Alligator mississippiensis: one gene and its partner. Each later gene encodes a partner of the first gene's protein in a complex. Links are inferred from orthologs where the notes say so. Each region holds a gene or a part of one and is shown in the gene's direction. Other genes may lie near its edges.

Evidence for each region. Proteins that work in one complex are often made in the same cells at the same time.
Region 2: CENPA (region 1) and CENPC share a complex: the UniProt entries of both Homo sapiens proteins name them as parts of the CENPA-NAC complex. The link is inferred for Alligator mississippiensis from reciprocal best matches to the Homo sapiens genes CENPA and CENPC.

Annotation. Positions count from the first base shown.
Region 1 is NC_081834.1:62,718,302-62,725,989, forward strand, and holds CENPA (histone H3-like centromeric protein A), read left to right. Parts: upstream 1-4,677; 5' UTR 4,678-4,910; intron 4,911-4,920; exon of another isoform or gene 4,921-5,074; intron 5,075-5,377; 5' UTR 5,378-5,391; coding exon 5,392-5,515; intron 5,516-5,590; coding exon 5,591-5,697; intron 5,698-5,966; coding exon 5,967-6,044; intron 6,045-6,596; coding exon 6,597-6,731; 3' UTR 6,732-7,317; downstream 7,318-7,688. Other genes in the region: complement C4, read left to right, coding at 1-149, 604-694, 846-920, 1,507-1,609, 1,760-1,849, 2,111-2,203, 2,871-2,954, 3,361-3,493 and 1 more. UniProt on the Homo sapiens protein: Histone H3-like nucleosomal protein that is specifically found in centromeric nucleosomes. Replaces conventional H3 in the nucleosome core of centromeric chromatin that serves as an assembly site for the inner kinetochore.
Region 2 is NC_081825.1:133,224,126-133,231,757, forward strand, and holds the start of CENPC (centromere protein C), read left to right. Parts: upstream 1-4,623; coding exon 4,624-4,880; intron 4,881-7,632. UniProt on the Homo sapiens protein: Component of the CENPA-NAC (nucleosome-associated) complex, a complex that plays a central role in assembly of kinetochore proteins, mitotic progression and chromosome segregation.

The DNA of each region.
Region 1 (7,688 bases):
GAGTATAACTATGACTATGGGGATGAAGCCCCAGCAGCTGATGCCCCCCTCCACGCTATCCACTGGTTTGATGCCCGGCGCCGGCGCCGGAGAGACGCAGCTGACCGCAGTCAAAGGGAGAAGGAGGTTCACTACACGATATGCATCCAGTGAGGACCCTCTACTTGGTGGTTGTGGTGGTGGGGAATTCCTGCCCCAGCTCTGTGCCTAGGGGTGGGACTTCCTTTTCTCTCTTCGAGGCGGGACTTCTTGCTTTGCATGTGCTCCAGAGGTGGGACTTCCTGTTTTACACTGCCTCAGGGGGTGGGACTTCCTTCTGCCTGCCTCTTTCGAACACAGGACTTCTGCTGGGGAGCGGTATTTCCTGTTGTGCACGTGCTCTGGGGATGGGTCTTCTAGCTACTATCTCACCCCATTGGCAGATGCAGCTCCCAGCCACAGTCCCCTTATTCCTTCCATGGCCTGTGCTGGGGTGAAAGGGGACTTCTTGTTACTTCTTTAGTCTATTGGGGAGGAGGTTGGACTTCCTGTAGCTTCCTTGGGGGTGGGGGGGGCAGGACTTCCTGCCATGTTCTCACTCTGCCTCTCCACCCCACATTGCAGGAGGAAGCCAGGGGCCCCGATCTCAGGCATGGCCATCGCTGACATCACCCTGCTCAGTGGCTTCCAGCCCCACACGGCTGATCTGGACAAGGTCAGGGGCCCTGATCCTTCCCTGTCCCCTCCCACCCACTGCACTTCTGATCAGCCCCCGGGGGGGACCCCTACCTCCTCTCCTCATGGGGGAGAAGAACAGGCATGTCTGTTCTTCCACGAGTCATCTGTATATCTGTCCATCCCCACAGCTGAAAGACCTGGTTGACCGCTACATCAGCCACTACGAGGTGCAGGGGCAGCGGCTCCTTCTCTACTTTGAGACGGTGAGCAGGGGAAGGGCAACTGTGGTTAGAGTTGTGGAGGGGTAAAGGCGTTGGGGAGCTCCAGGGGTATGGGGGAGGGTTTGGGGGGCAGAATGGGCATAGGAGCATCTTGGGGGTGGTGTCTGTCTGGCTGTAGCATGCCTTGCTCCCACCTAAAGTGTGATATGAAGGAGCTGCAGACCTTTCCCTTGTTTCACAACTAACGTTTTTGAGGCTGGATCCCCATTTCAGTGGCTTGTTTTCCAGGGGTAATGGCTTGAACATGCCACAATGTATCGCAGAATTAGCGCCTTAAGCATGAGATAAACATAGTGTTCGCATGCACCCTGGATGCCTAGGGCCTCTGGCAGTCATTGTGGGCTTTCCAGACACATTTGGGTCTTCTGCCAGTAAGAGCATGGGCATCTCCAGATGCCTAGGACCTCTGCCAATAGGTGTGGGCTTCCCTAAACACCTGGGTCCTTTGGCAGTAGGTGGGAGCATCCCTTTACATCTGGGTTCTTTGGTAGTGGGCATGTGCTCTGGGGGCCTCCATGTCAGTCATGAGGCTCTCCCCCCAACCCTGTGTTCACCCCTCTACTTCCAGGTGCCCGAGGTCCGAGACTGCGTGGGGTTCCGGGCACAGCAGACGGTGCCTGTGGGGATGCTCCAGCCTGCGGCTGCCACCCTCTATGACTTCTATGAGCCAGGTGGGGGCTGCAGTGGGGCAAGGGTGAAGGGGGACAGGCAGATGGGGTCTGGGAGAGCTTGGGTAGTGGGGGGGTGGAGGGGTCAGGGGAAGCTGGATGGAAGAGGAGCTGCCCCAGAGACCAGCCCATCCCCCCACTTCTTGCCCCCAGGCCGGCAGTGCAGCGTGTTCTACAACGCCCCCAGTAGGAGCAAGTTCATCTCAGCCCTCTGCTCCAATGATGTCTGCCAGTGTGCCGAAGGTGAGGAGACCCAAGTGTCTGGGCTCTCTGTACCCCCTTTCCTGTTCTAATCACCCCAGTCCCCATTCCCCTCTCACAACAGGGAGAGAACCCAGGTGTCTGGGCTCCCTGCGGTAACTCTCCAACCCTCATTTCCCTCCCACAGAGGGGAGAGAACCCAGGCAGCCTGACCCCCTCTACTCCAACCCCATGAGCCCTAACTCCTCCTGGAGTGGGCAGAGAACCCAGGTGTCCTGATCCCTTTCTCCCTCTCCCTACCAGGTGCCTGCTCCCGGAAGAAGCGAACGTTGGATGACAAAGTGACAGAGGCTGAACGCACTGAGTTTGCCTGCTACAGCCCCCGGGTGCAGTACGGTGAGATTGGACCCCTGAGGGGTGCCGGGAGGGGAGTGGGGGGAGGCCTGGAGGGAACCCTTGACCTCCAATACCTGCCCCACCCCCACACATGCACACACCAGGGATGTCCTAGAGACCCTCTCCCCATGGTCTCCGTGCCCCTCCCACCCCCAAGGTCAACAATTTAAGACATTGCTTTTTTTACTGCCAGACATATTTTTTTTACTGACACTGTAGTGGTTTTATGCCTGCTGGTTCCACTCCAGGGGTCCCCGACTCCTCCATACACCCTGACACCCCCAGCTGCACCCCCCCCCCCGATCACACCCAAGTATGCTCCTTGCCCCATGATCCAGCCCCTTCCACTCTCCTGCATTTCAGGAGAGGCTGGATCAGCCCTGATAGGCAGGCGGTGGCAGCTGCATGTGGCTGGGGCAAGTGGGGAAGGGAACAATGGCAGTTCCTTCAGAGCTGTATATTTATGGCTCCCTGAGGACCCCCCATCTCTCCTCCCCCATCCTGTACCCCCTACTTACCTCTCCCCCCACCCAACATCTTTTTGCGCCCTTCTCCAATTCCCAGAAGCCCCCCCCCCTCCCCCACTAACTCCTGCCTAAGCCAGTGGGGTAGTCCTAGTCCCGATCCCTGACCTTGACCCCTGCCCCCCCCCCCTCTTCCCCCCCAGGGTATGAGGTGCAGGTGCTGAGGGAGGAAGACCAGAGTGGCTTCCGGGCCTATGTGACGAAGGTGCTGGAGCCGCTGCAGTTCAGTGAGTGTGGGGCAATGGGGGGGACTCCAGGGTAGGGGGCTGGGAGGGTTGACTCCGTGGGATCTCTAGGGTGGGGACTCTGCAGGGGTGGCGGCAGCAGTGGGGTGACCCCAGGAGTTTGGGGGGCCTGTAGACGCTGGGGGCGAGAGGGGGGGGAGAGTGGCCCCATAAGGGGTGGGGAGTCCCAGGGGGCTGTGACTACAAACTTGAGGGGGGGGGCAAGGGGGTTGGGGTGACTGGGGGGGGGCAAGGGGGTTGGGGTGACTGAGGGGGGGCAAGGGGGTTGGGGTGACTGAGGGGGGGCAAGGGGGTTGGGGTGACTGAGGGGGGGGCAAGGGGGTTGGGGTGACTGAGGGGGGGGCAAGGGGGTTCCCCTGCCCCTGTCTGATGCCCCCTTCCCTCACAGCCGGTGACGTGGGAGTGCAGGTGGGCCAGAGCCGCTGGTTCCTGGTCCGTGCCTCCTGCCGCCTGCGCCTGGCGCCTGGGCGCCGCTACCTGCTTATGGGGCAGGATGGGGAGACCCGTGACGCCCAGGGCCAGTGAGTGCGGGGGGCAGGGCTGAGGACTTTGGTGAGGTGGGAGGCTTGGTGGGGTATACTGAGGGACTCCTGCACCTCGGGGACCTCCCATCACCCCTGTGACCCCACTGAGACCTCCGCAGCTCCCTTGATCCCGGTGCGACCCCTTTGTGATGCCGTGACCACCGTGCTCCTTCCGTGACCCCATTACCCTCCCCAAACCGTGGGATGTTTGGGGGGGCACCTGGGAGCGTAGGGGGCACTTAGCAAGGGGGTTTTGTGGAGGCAGAGTGTCCCAAGGGCGACCCTCGTGACTTCTCTCTGCGGGGCCGGAGCGGTCGGGGGGTCTTGGCAGGGTGGGCTGCGGGTCTTATGCCCCCCGTAGCCCCTCTGTGGCCTTGCTGTGACCCCTGCAACCTCCCCAGCCCGCATGCCTGGAGGTCTTGAGGGAGGGGACGCGGCGGGGGGCTCTGCGGGGTGTGCTGGGTGCGGGGCTGAGCGTGTCCTGCCCCCCGTGACCCCTGTGACCTGCCCCCAGGCTGCGGTACCTGCTGGAGGAGGGCTCGTGGGTGGAGGAGCTGCCGGACGACCGGCGCTGCGAGGCCACGGCCTATCGCAACCTCTGCGCCCAGCTCCGCGCCTTCAAGGAGGCGTACGGCCAGAACGGCTGCAAGGTCTGAGCCCCGCAGGGCCGGGCTCGCCTGCACCCCCCGGCCGGGATTGGATCAGGACCTGCTGGTGCCTGGATCGGGACCACCGGTGCCCCTGGCCCGGGGCTGCTGCACCCTCCCCGCTCGCGCCGGGCCCAGCCCCTCCCGCTGTGCAATAATAAACCCGGGTCCTGCCCCAGCCCTTGTCCTGGCTTGGTCTGGGGGGTCGCTCGGGTCCCGCGGGGGCTGCCGCGAGGGGGCAGGAGCTGTGGGGGTGCTGCGATGGGGCGGGGGGGGGGTTGTGCCTGCCCCATCCACCCCTGCCTCAAGCCCGCCGGGCCTGGGGGGCAGCCGCGCACGCGGGGTGGGGGCTGTGACTGGGGGTACGTGTGTGTGGGGGGGGTGTCGGGGTGTCAGTGTTGGGGGGTGTATGTGTGTGTGGCTGGGTGTGAGGGGGTGAGCGCGCGAATGAACGTCAGACTGCGAGGGGGCTTGAAAGCGGGAGCGTGTGCGCACGCGCGGGTGCTGCGCGCCCCCACAGGGCTCAGACACGCCCCGCCCCCAGGGGCGCCCCCCGCCCCCGGCTGCCAGTGGAAATCCGCAGGCCTCCCCGGGGGTCACCACAGAGATGAGGCCGCCGCGCGGCGCAGAGCGGGCCCCGTGGTGACGAGAAGGGGCGGACCATCGAGTCGGGGCCTCCACACAGCGCAGAACGGCTCCGCGGCCACCCTCCGCGGAAGCACCCGCCTCCTCCGGCTCGCCTGTATTCGAACCCCGCCGGAAGTGATGTAAGAGGGGGGCGGGGCCCGGCGGGAAGTTCGAATCTCGGCGGCCGCAGCACGGGTGGTTCCCTCCCCCCAGCGCGGGCGGGGCGCGAGCGAACCGGGCTGACGTCACGGAGAGGGGCGCGCGGGGGCCTCACGTCAGGAGCTAGGAGGTTGGGGGGGGCAAGGTGACGTCAGAAAGACATGGGGGCGGCGATGTCATGGGGCAGCCGGGTGACGCCAGAAGGATTGGCAGTGACGTCACTGCAATGCATAGGAAGGGTTGGGGGGCGTGGGTTCCTCCTGGGGCAAATATGGGGCTCCTGGGGGGAGCCGGCAGGCGTGGTCCCTTTCCCAGCTGTGGGAGGACAGTGGGGTCACAGCAAGGGATGCTGGGAGCTGAGCGCCGGGCTCTGTCCTGGCTCGGAGGAGGGGGCTGCCCCTGGACCCCGGGGTCCTCCCCTCTACCCCCCATCTCCCTTCCCCCGCAGGTGCCAACTGTGCCATGCCCAGGCCCCGCGCCCGCAAGACCACCCCCCGGCGCCGCCCCACTCGCCCCTCGCCCTCGCCCTCACCGCCACCCCCGCCCCCACCCCCACCCCGGCGCTCCCCCCGCCGCGCCCTGCCAGGTGAGTGTCCCCTCCCTGGGCTGCGGGGTATGTGCTCCCCCAGCCCCCCGCTAACGTCCCCGGTCGGGCCCTCAGGACCGCGGCGGCGCCGGTACCGCCCAGGGCAGCGAGCACTGCTGGAGATCCGCAAGTACCAGCGCAGCACGGACCTGCTCATCCGCCGCCTGCCCTTCGCCCGCGTGGTGCGTGTGTGCGCGCCCCCCCGGCATTGCCCCCACTCAGGACATTGTCTGTCTGACCCCCGCTTGAAGCCCTCTCTCCTCCCTGCAGGCCTATCTGACCCCCTCCCAAAGCCTCCTGCTCCTCCTGGTCTGTCTGATCAACACCCCCACATCCATCCCTCTCCTTCCTGTTTGATTTCCATCCTCCTGCCCCCTTCCTGGTCTATCTAACCCCCCCCCCCCCCAAACCCTGCCCCCCGCCAGCTTTTCTGACTCCCCTTCCCCCCCAGGTGCGGGAAATCTGCCTGAATTACACACGGGGGGTGGATTTCCACTGGCAGGCCATGGCCTTGCTGGCCCTGCAGGAGGTGAGTGTGGGGGCTGGCACCCCTGGGGCATGTCTGGGCCCTGGGGGGTGTGGAGGGCAGGGGAGGTGACTGGGGTCCGTGGGGGTGCCTGGGCAGGGGCGATGCTTGTGGCGGGTGCCCATGGACCGGCGGGGTATGTTGGGGTGTGTCTTTTCTGGGGGCAGGGCTATGTGGGGGGTGTCCAGGCAGGGGGCAGGGCTGCAGGGGTCTGTCTGGTTAGGGGGCAGGGCCACAGGCTGTTGCCTAGGCAGGGGGTGAGGCTTGGTGGGTTGTTTGTGTGTGGGGATTGGGCTAAATGTGGGACATCTGGGCAGGGGGTGGGGGGCAGGTATCCTGGCAGGGTTTTGTGCATTATCAGGGCAGGGGGCAGGGCCTCAGGGTGGGTTCTGTGCAGGGGGTGGAGCCACAGGTGGGGTCCAAGTAGGGGACAGAGCCTAGGTGGGGTGTGTCCAGGCTGGGAGCAGGGCTTTGCGGGTTGTCAGGGCAGGAGGCGGGGCCTCAGGGACCAGCCCCACCCCTGATGGCTGCCTCCCCTGTTGTGCCCCTTGCTAGGCGGCTGAGGCCTTCCTGGTGCACCTGCTGGAGGACTCGTACCTGTGCGCCATCCACGCCAAGCGTGTCACCCTCTTCCCCAAGGACATGCAGCTGGCCCGGCGCATCCGCGGTTTGCATGAGGGCCTGGGCTGACCTCTATGGCCCTCCAGCCAGGGCACCCCGTGGCACCCCACAGTTCCCCTGCCCTGCACTGTGTAGGGCAGGCAGCTGGGGGCTTTTAATTTGGACTAAGATGTTTCCTCCCCGCAAATCTACCCCAGGGCAGGGGGGTTTTGGAACCTTCCTGGTGCCCCCAGCCCTGTGTTTCTGCCCCCCCAACCCTGGGAGTGTCTGAGCTAGCCCCACTGGAGGGGCTCTGACCCCAGTGGGGAGTGCTGAGCCCTATGGGGAGGTCCTGAACCCCCTGTGGGGGAGAGGGACCATGGATCTCGGGGCCCTGACTTAGGCAGGGGGAGAGGAGATGGCAACAACGGCTGCTCCTGCTCCCCCTTGCCCCAGGCTCCCTAGTTGCCCCCTCCCCAGCTCTGTGCCCCATGGGATCCCTGCTTAACCCCTCCCCCCAAAGTTCCTTCTTCCATAGTTACCCGTGCCCTGGTCCCTCTTCTTCCCCATGATTTTAGCTGGGGGGTGGGGGGGTGCTTGGAGAGCTGTAGTCTTGGCGATGCATTGTTTTCTCTGCTAATTTCAGGCCAAATTAAAGCAATATTGGATTTTTCAAGTGGTGCTGGCTGTGGCAGAAATGCCAGCATCTGTCTGTCTCTCCAGAGACCTGTCTTGGTCAGCTTGGGACACTGGGGTCAAATTCCTAAAGGAGGGGGGATTTCCCTTCCTGCCTACATGACAGAAGCCTGGTTTGGAGGATGTGGGCTCTCTGGTCACCTGAGTGGGGGAGGGAAAAGCCCCTGCTCCTCTGCCCAGGTGACCAGTGATGATTTTTAAATCGGTTGGCGAGTTGCCAACACCGCTGGCTTCTCTTGGCCTGGGCTGCTGAGGTCAGAAAGGCAATACAGGGGCCTGGTCCAAGAAGAAGGGAGAAGCCATTTTTCCAGCATGGTCCAAACACCAGGACACAGGGAGAGAGTCTGATCC
Region 2 (7,632 bases), on another chromosome or scaffold:
TTCATTTTGTGCAAATTAGGCTGAGACATTGGCGATGTGCACCCCCTGGTGGCAGTGCACCCCTTGCAAAAAGGTGCCATCAACACTGCTGGTGGTGCCTGCGGGCAGTCACCGCTCACCCACACCCCGCTGCTGGCGGTAGCGTCTGCAGGCGGTCCATGATTGCTGCTGCCTGCTGCCGGCTGCTTCTGCAGGTGGTCGCTGACCATGGGCCAGCACTCACCACCACCCCAACCACCGCTGCTGTGGCCACCTGTGGGAGCTTCCCATTTGCTTCCACCATGCTTCCACTGCTGACAGTGCCACCGCTGCCTGCAGGAGCCCGCTGTGCCCCCCCAGCCTTCGGGGGCACACGGTGTTCACGGGCTTAGAGAAAACTTAGAACAGTCTATTTAGCTTGATGTTGTCTGGTGTCAAGTAGGATGTTTCATAGTTTCATAGTAGGTAGGGTTGGAAGGGACCTGAGGAGATCATCTAGTCCGACCCCCTGCCGTGGCACGAAAGAGTACTGGGGTCAAACGACCCCAGCCAGATGTTCGTCCAGCCTCCTTCTAAAGACCCCCAGGGTAGGAGCCAGCACCACTTCTTTTGGAAGTTGGTTCCAGGTCCTAGCCGCCCTGACAGTGATATAGCGCTTCCTAATGTCTAGCCTGAAACTACCCTCTGCTACCTTGTGTCCGTTGTTTCTTGCAACTCCCGGGATTGCTCGGAGGAACAGGAACTCTCCCAATGCCTGCTGGTCCCCCTTGACTAGTTTGTAGACTGCCACTTGATCCCCTCTCAGCCTTCTCTTGTGGAGGCTGAACAGGTTCAGGTCCCTCAGCCTCTCCTTGTAGGGCCTGCCCTGCTGACCCCTGATCATGCGGGTGGCCCTCCTTTGGACCCTCTCCATATTGGCCACATCCCTCCTGAAGTGCGGCGCCCAGAACTGGACGCAGTACTCCAGCTGCGGCCTGACCAGCGTTGCATAGAGGGGGAGGATCACCTCCTTGGACCTGCTTGAGATGCATCTTTGGATGCACAACAAGGTATGGTTGGCCTTCCTGACCGCGTCCCCACTTTGTTGGCCCATGTTCATTGTGGCATCAATGATGACTCCAAGATCCTTTTCTGTCTTGACACTGGTGAGAAGGGAGTTCCCCAGCCTGTAGGTGTGCTGCTGGTTCTTCCTCCCCAGGTGCATCACCCTGTACTTCTCAGTGTTGAACCCCATCCTGTTCTCATCGGCCGACCCCTGTAACCTGTCTAGATCTGCTTGCAGCCTATTTCTTCCTACTAGCGTACCCACTTCACTCCACATCTTAGTGTCATCTGCGAATTTGAACAGGGTGCTTTCTACCCCCTTGCCCAAGCCACTGATGAAGATGTTGAATAGTGTGGGTCCAAGGACCGAGCCCTGGGGAACCCCACTGCCCACATCCCTCCAGGTCGAATAAGACCTGTCCACCATCACCCCCTGGGTGCAGCCCTCCAGCCAGTGACCCATCTGACTGTGTAGGCATCAACACCACTGTCTCCTAGTTTCTTACTGAGAATGGGGTGAGAGACCGTGTCGAAGGCCTTCCTGAAGTCCAGAAAGAATATATACACTGCGACACCTGCATCCAAGGACTTGGTGACCTGGTCATAGAAGGCCACCAGGTTGGTTTGACAAGACTGCCCCTAATGAACCCATGCTGGTTGCCCCTGAGCATAACCTCCCCTGCTGGCCTTCCTGGACAGGTGCCAGGATAATTCTTTCGAAAAACTTCCCCAGGACCGAGGTAAGACTCACAGGCCTATAGTTTCCTGGGTCCTCCTTCCTCCCTTTTTTGAAGATGGGGACCACATTGGCCCTTTTCCAGTCCTCTGGCACATTGCCCGAGCGCCATGAGTGCTCATAGAGCTGTGCCAGGGGTCCCGCAACGACCCCTGCTAGTTCCTTCAGCACTGTGGGGTGGAGATCATCAGGACCTGTGGATTTAAATACATCTAGTCCCTCCAGAAGTTCCCTGACAAGGTCCTCATTAACCCTGGGCCTGGGTGTGCCACCCATGGGGCCCTCAGGGGGTGGGGTGGGGGAGCAGTGGAGGAGATATCCGGGTCCCTCCTCAGAAATATGGAGGCAAAGAAATTGTTGAATATGTCAGCTTTACTGTCAGGTGAGATGACCAGATTTCCTAGCGTGTCCTGCAGAGGCCCCACATTCCTTGGCACCTTCTTTTGCCCCCTTATGTATTTGAAAAAGGATTTCTTGTTGTCCTTGATCTGGGTCACTAGTCCCAGCTCCACTTCCGCCTTGGCCTTCCTGACTGCCCCCCTACATTCCCAAGCTACCGAGGTATAGCCCTCTCTTGTGATGGCCCCTCCCTTCCAACAGGTGTACGCCTCCTTTTTTGTTTGAAGACGTTCCCGGATGCTTTTGGTGAGCAAGGGGGGCCTTTGCGCCCTCTTGCCTCCTTTGCTGAATTATGTTTCCTTCTGGTTATGATATTTCATATTTCACAGGAACCTGAGGTGATGGAAACTTCTCCGGGGCAGGAAATTCTCTTGTGCTGAGGCAGCTTGAGCTCTGTGAATATGTAGATTTTGCTGGAACAATGGGCAGGAGCCAGGGTGTCAGCTTTTAGGTTCAGGTGGTGAATTTCCTTCATTCTTGTAAAATTATGAAGTTTTCATTTCAAAAGAAATTACATTTCATTTGAATACTGGACAGGAATCTGTGAGGGTGACACTAAAGACAAGAGATGGTAGGCATTGGTTGACAAGCAAAACTGATGATGTGATGTGACATTACCCCAGAGGCAGTAGAGTTGGCCCCAGCAGCCTTACTTGGAACAGTGCTGGCCCCAGTAGCCTTACCTGGGCTCCTGGGGGCCTCCTAGGGCTGCAGCAGCGGTGATCCTGCCAGGCAGAGCCTGGCTGGCAGTCCAAGTGCAGCTCCGGGAGCCCTGGTTCTGCTTTTCAGTGGTGTGTGCTGCCTGTGTGCGCGCTGCTTTGTTGTTTTTTTCCATGAGTTTTTTTTTTTTTGACCCCTGGATATCTAGGGGTCAAAAACCCCCCAAAGAAACAAACCAAAATACGGAGCAGCACATACACAGGCAGTGTGCCCTTGCAGTGCAGAGGACACCTAACTGTGAGGTATGTGGTGCTGAAGATGTATTTGCAGCATCACATACCACAGTTTTGCTCAACTGAACGTACCCATTGTAAGCACCAGCTACAGATGTTACACTTTTAACGGTATAAGTGATCAGAAACTGGGCTATACTTATTACAGAACAGAAGTTCAGCACACAAAACTTGTCTATACCCGTAACACAGGGGTGGGCAATTATTTAGGGTGGAGGGCAAGCCATTGAAAGCCACATGACAGGCAGCCAGGGGCAGATAAATATTAATTTTCTATGTTTTTTAGGGGCCCTGTGGGCCGGATAGAATGGCCTGGCGGCCACATCCAGCCCAAGGGTCGCATTTTGCCCAAACCTGCCATAACAGAACAGCAGTTCAGCACATGTAGACCGGTTTAAAAATGGTGGAACCCAGTTTAAGATTTGTCCTCCCCAATGAAAGGGCAAATGTGTGGTGTCTAAAATACACCACTTACAGAAACCTGCGTAACTTAGATGGATTCTGCCTCAGGCTTTCTGAATGTCTGTACCGAACCACTGTGTCCAACCTGGCTAGAAATTAGGCTCTAGTGGGCACCTAAAAAATGAGGCTGAACGTTTCCAGCACCACAAAAGCCTGGCTGGGTAGGTGCTCTTGTAGTATAAAAATGCTGAACAAAACAGTTAAAAAAAACACAGGTTGCTGAGCTGAAATACTAGTTGTTCAGTCACACAAGTAAGAATCTTACACAGGGGGCGCACTACCTTTTTGGCTTGTTTACCCATCTGTGGGTCCTACAAACCATGGGAATGATTAGTCCAGGAGTGAGGGGGTGGCTCAGACACAATGCTAGTCAACAACCGCTCTGTAAGAGGCCATCACTGAAATGATCTGGCACTGGCTGCAGGTCCAGGAAGCTTGGGCCTGACGCATGGCTTCCTGCCATCGTTTCCATTTGACACATCTTCAAAGCAAAGGCCTGACAGATGCACCATCATGCCTCAGCAGCCCAGTGCTCAGCCAGTGACACATGCAACACGGACCTGTGGAGGCAAGCACACACGAGGGGCTCACGTGGGGGCATGAGGCGATGGCAAGCACAAAAAGAACTGGCTTGCCCTAGAAACTGCCTAAGTGCCCAGCCACGGGGCAAGCACGCCAGAGGGCAGCGTGTGAATGTGCAGGAGCAGGGGGCACTTAGGACTAGAGGAGAGGGCCTCGCGGTGCCAGGATGCCCATGCGGGGAGGGCTGCGTGTTAATTGCACAGAGGAACCCTGTGCTGGGAATTTGGGCATGAGCATGCCAAGGAGGTACAGAGGGCTGGTGTGAGTGCTCAGGAGTGCAAGGGGGGGTAGGGTGGGCGTGAACAGGCAGGCATGCAAATGAGCATGGGAGTTTACCTCTAGGCTGCGGAAGCCCAAGAGCCCCCTCAAACCAAACCCCGCCCAGCTCCACAGAGACAACAAGCGACTCTTCCTCCCTCCTCTCCTCTTCTCTGCTCAGCCGGGAGAGAGGGGGGGACGACTTAGCGGATGCGCACCCTCCTCCTCACTCCCCCCCACCCCCCGCTGAGCGGACGGCTGGCTAGGGAAACGGCTCTGGTGACAGGCCATTCCGGCCCCGCGCTCAGCCAATGGGCTTCTGCGCACCGCCCCCTGGAGGAGAGGCGCATGCGCAGTGGGAAAGCGCTGGGTTTTCGAACGAGCGGCCGGGCGCGCAGGCTTCAGAGGCGGCGGCCCCGGCACCAGCGCTGGGCGACAGGGCTGTCGGCGACATGGCAGAGGCGCTGGTGAGAGCAGGGGCCGGGGCGGGGGACCCTGAGGCGGCGCCCCATTTCAAACGCCGTGGAGGACGGTTGGGGACGGGGCTCGCGGGTCCTCGCGCCTCCGAGGGGCTGTGCAACGTTGTGAACCGCGCGCGGGGGCCGTGACTGCACTTGCTCGAGGGCGGCGCCGTTGGCCCTTGCGCTCTGCGCCTGCGCGGGTTAAGGCCCTGAAGCGCTGCCCTGCCCCCCTTGTCGAACTGGTCTTGCCCTTGCTGTCGGCCCGCTCTTGCCCCTAGTGCTTCTGTGACTTCGCCCCCCGCCCCCTTCGCTTCGATGCATCTGACTCCTACTGAGCCTGTTGGGACCCCGCACCCTCTGTTCTCTCAGTACTGCTGTTCCAGCCTCTCTTTAATTGTGTTCCGTGTTGCCAGGTGTACGACAATGATCGTATTTGTACGATAGTTTCAAGCCTTGTCTGATCAGTTAGAGGAAAAAGTGTTCAAAATGTAGTTATTCGTGAGGCAGCTTGTTGATGCAGCAGATGGAAAACCCCAGTCACTCTCGGGGAGCCTTAACTGACTTTTGGGTTTGCTGTTAGTACTTTCTTATGATGGCCTGCCTCAAAGTACAGAAACGCTTCACCTTTGATGACCCATTTCTCACTCACTGGTGACTTACAGTGGGCAATATGAAGGAAATAATAAGATGTATTTGCATAATCATTTCATACTTATTTGGACATTCTTTTGGTGCATAATAGTTTTTCAGTAAATACAAAAGCTTTGAGCTTCCAATATGATAACTTTATATTTAAGATCTGACAATGCTGGTTGTGCTTCTGACTGCTCTCCAAGGCATCACCTTGAGCTTGTCTGCGTTGAATGTCCCCCTGAGAGCTTCTGCTCAGTTTTCTGACCCGCTGAGATTCTTTGTGATTTGAAGGCTGTCACAGAAAGCTTGTTGAGCACATTTGTGGCCAGCATGAAACTAGGAAAGGTTGCAAACGTGTTGGAGGACAGGAGCGCGAGTCGGAAGGATCTCAATGGTTGGAAGCTCACAGGACGACAACCTCTTGCAGTCTGAACATAATGCTTTCTTAAAGAGCCTTACTAGTCACAAACCTAAGAATGGCCAGCAGGACTGTATCAACCCACCCCCTAACTCAAACTCTGCCAGCCCTAGCAATTACGTCTCTAGCCCAAACTCCAACCCAGACCTGAGCCCAGAGAGCCCTACTACTCGGCCGTAAGCCTTTTTCACAGTTCCCTTCCAGCTCCATCCCTAATCCTAAATCTAACTGCTACCCCAACCCTAGCCTGAGGGCTCATTAGCTCTAACCGTAAATGCAGCGTGATAATCCGTAATCCTAATCTGGGGCGCACTGTCAGCCCCACCACTAACTACCTCTGGAACCACTTAGCAGTTGCTACCCAGGCCCAGGACAGACCCTGTGGGGCTTCACTTAGAACCTCCTGTCCTTCTGAAGTAGGCTTGTTAATATTTACCCTCTGCTTGTGGCTACTGAGCCAATTATCTATCCACCTTTTAGTAGTTTTGTCCAACACACATTTCTCCAGTTTCTTTGAGAAGTTCATGCAGGACATTGTCAAAAGCTTTGCTGAAGTCCAGATACACTATCCACGGCCTTCCCTTCATCCACCAAAGTAGTTCTTGGCAAGGAAATGCTGCCTGCCAGCCTGTGCTGCAAGGGAGGCATTTTAGACCAGCCTAAGGTTGAATTGCACCCAAGTCTGGTGGTGGGATGCCAGCAAGGTGTTTTCAGCACTCCTGTCTCAGCCAGCAGCTGTGGGGTGACCGCTGGCAAATGCCATGCTGCAGTTATACTGATGGGGCTAGAGCATGATGATGCAACTGCATTTGCTGCACATTAGTTTTTCCTAAACTTCTCTGCCTACACTAGGGGAAGAACAGAGATGACGCCTTGTGAGGAAATAGCCACAATGGCAGGGTGTCAAGTCAAATCTTGATGCAGTGCGTACAGAAAACAAAATGACAATGCTGTGTTCATCATGACTGCCACTTGGCATGAAGGAATTTGCCTCAAGCACCAAAATCTAATGGCTACACAAGCCAAGATGCAAAACAAATAATGTTGAAGACTGTAGAAAAAAAATATCTGACCAAAGCCTTAACATCAGAGCCAGGTATTGGCCAGCCTACTAGAAATTGATGGTCCAATGGCTCCCCTCTTGCATTGCTAAGAAAAGGAGTAGTAGAGAAATCACCAGAGGTCTGGCATTACATAACCCTGCTTGCCAATCAAATACAGATTACAGTTTAATGGGGGCTGTGGGACCATAAGACTACAAATCTAATGCAAAGACCCAGGTCTTATAAAATTTAAAAGCAAAAATTAGCTGTAAGGATGCAGCGGCAGCAGAACTCAACTGCAGAGCATGATCAGAATGATGCATACTAGGAAGGTATGCTAGAGGGAGCTAGCATGCTATTGTGCCCCTCTTAATCTCTTCTTATTTATTAACTTATTAGGTCTCTCTTATCCAAAAGGCTCAGAGCATCTTACAATAAACAAATGACCCACAGGCAGGATTCCCCAAACAGCACCCCAAAACCCAAGAATTTCACTTCCATCTGCAACCACCACTTCCCCGGTTCACTCAGCCTTTCCTTGTATAGTTTATATCCATCTCCTGTCATTGTCATTTGCCTTGGATGCTTTCCAGTTTATATATATCCTCCGTAAAATGTGGAGCCCAGAAATGCACTGAGTATTCCAGTGGAGACCTACTCCAGC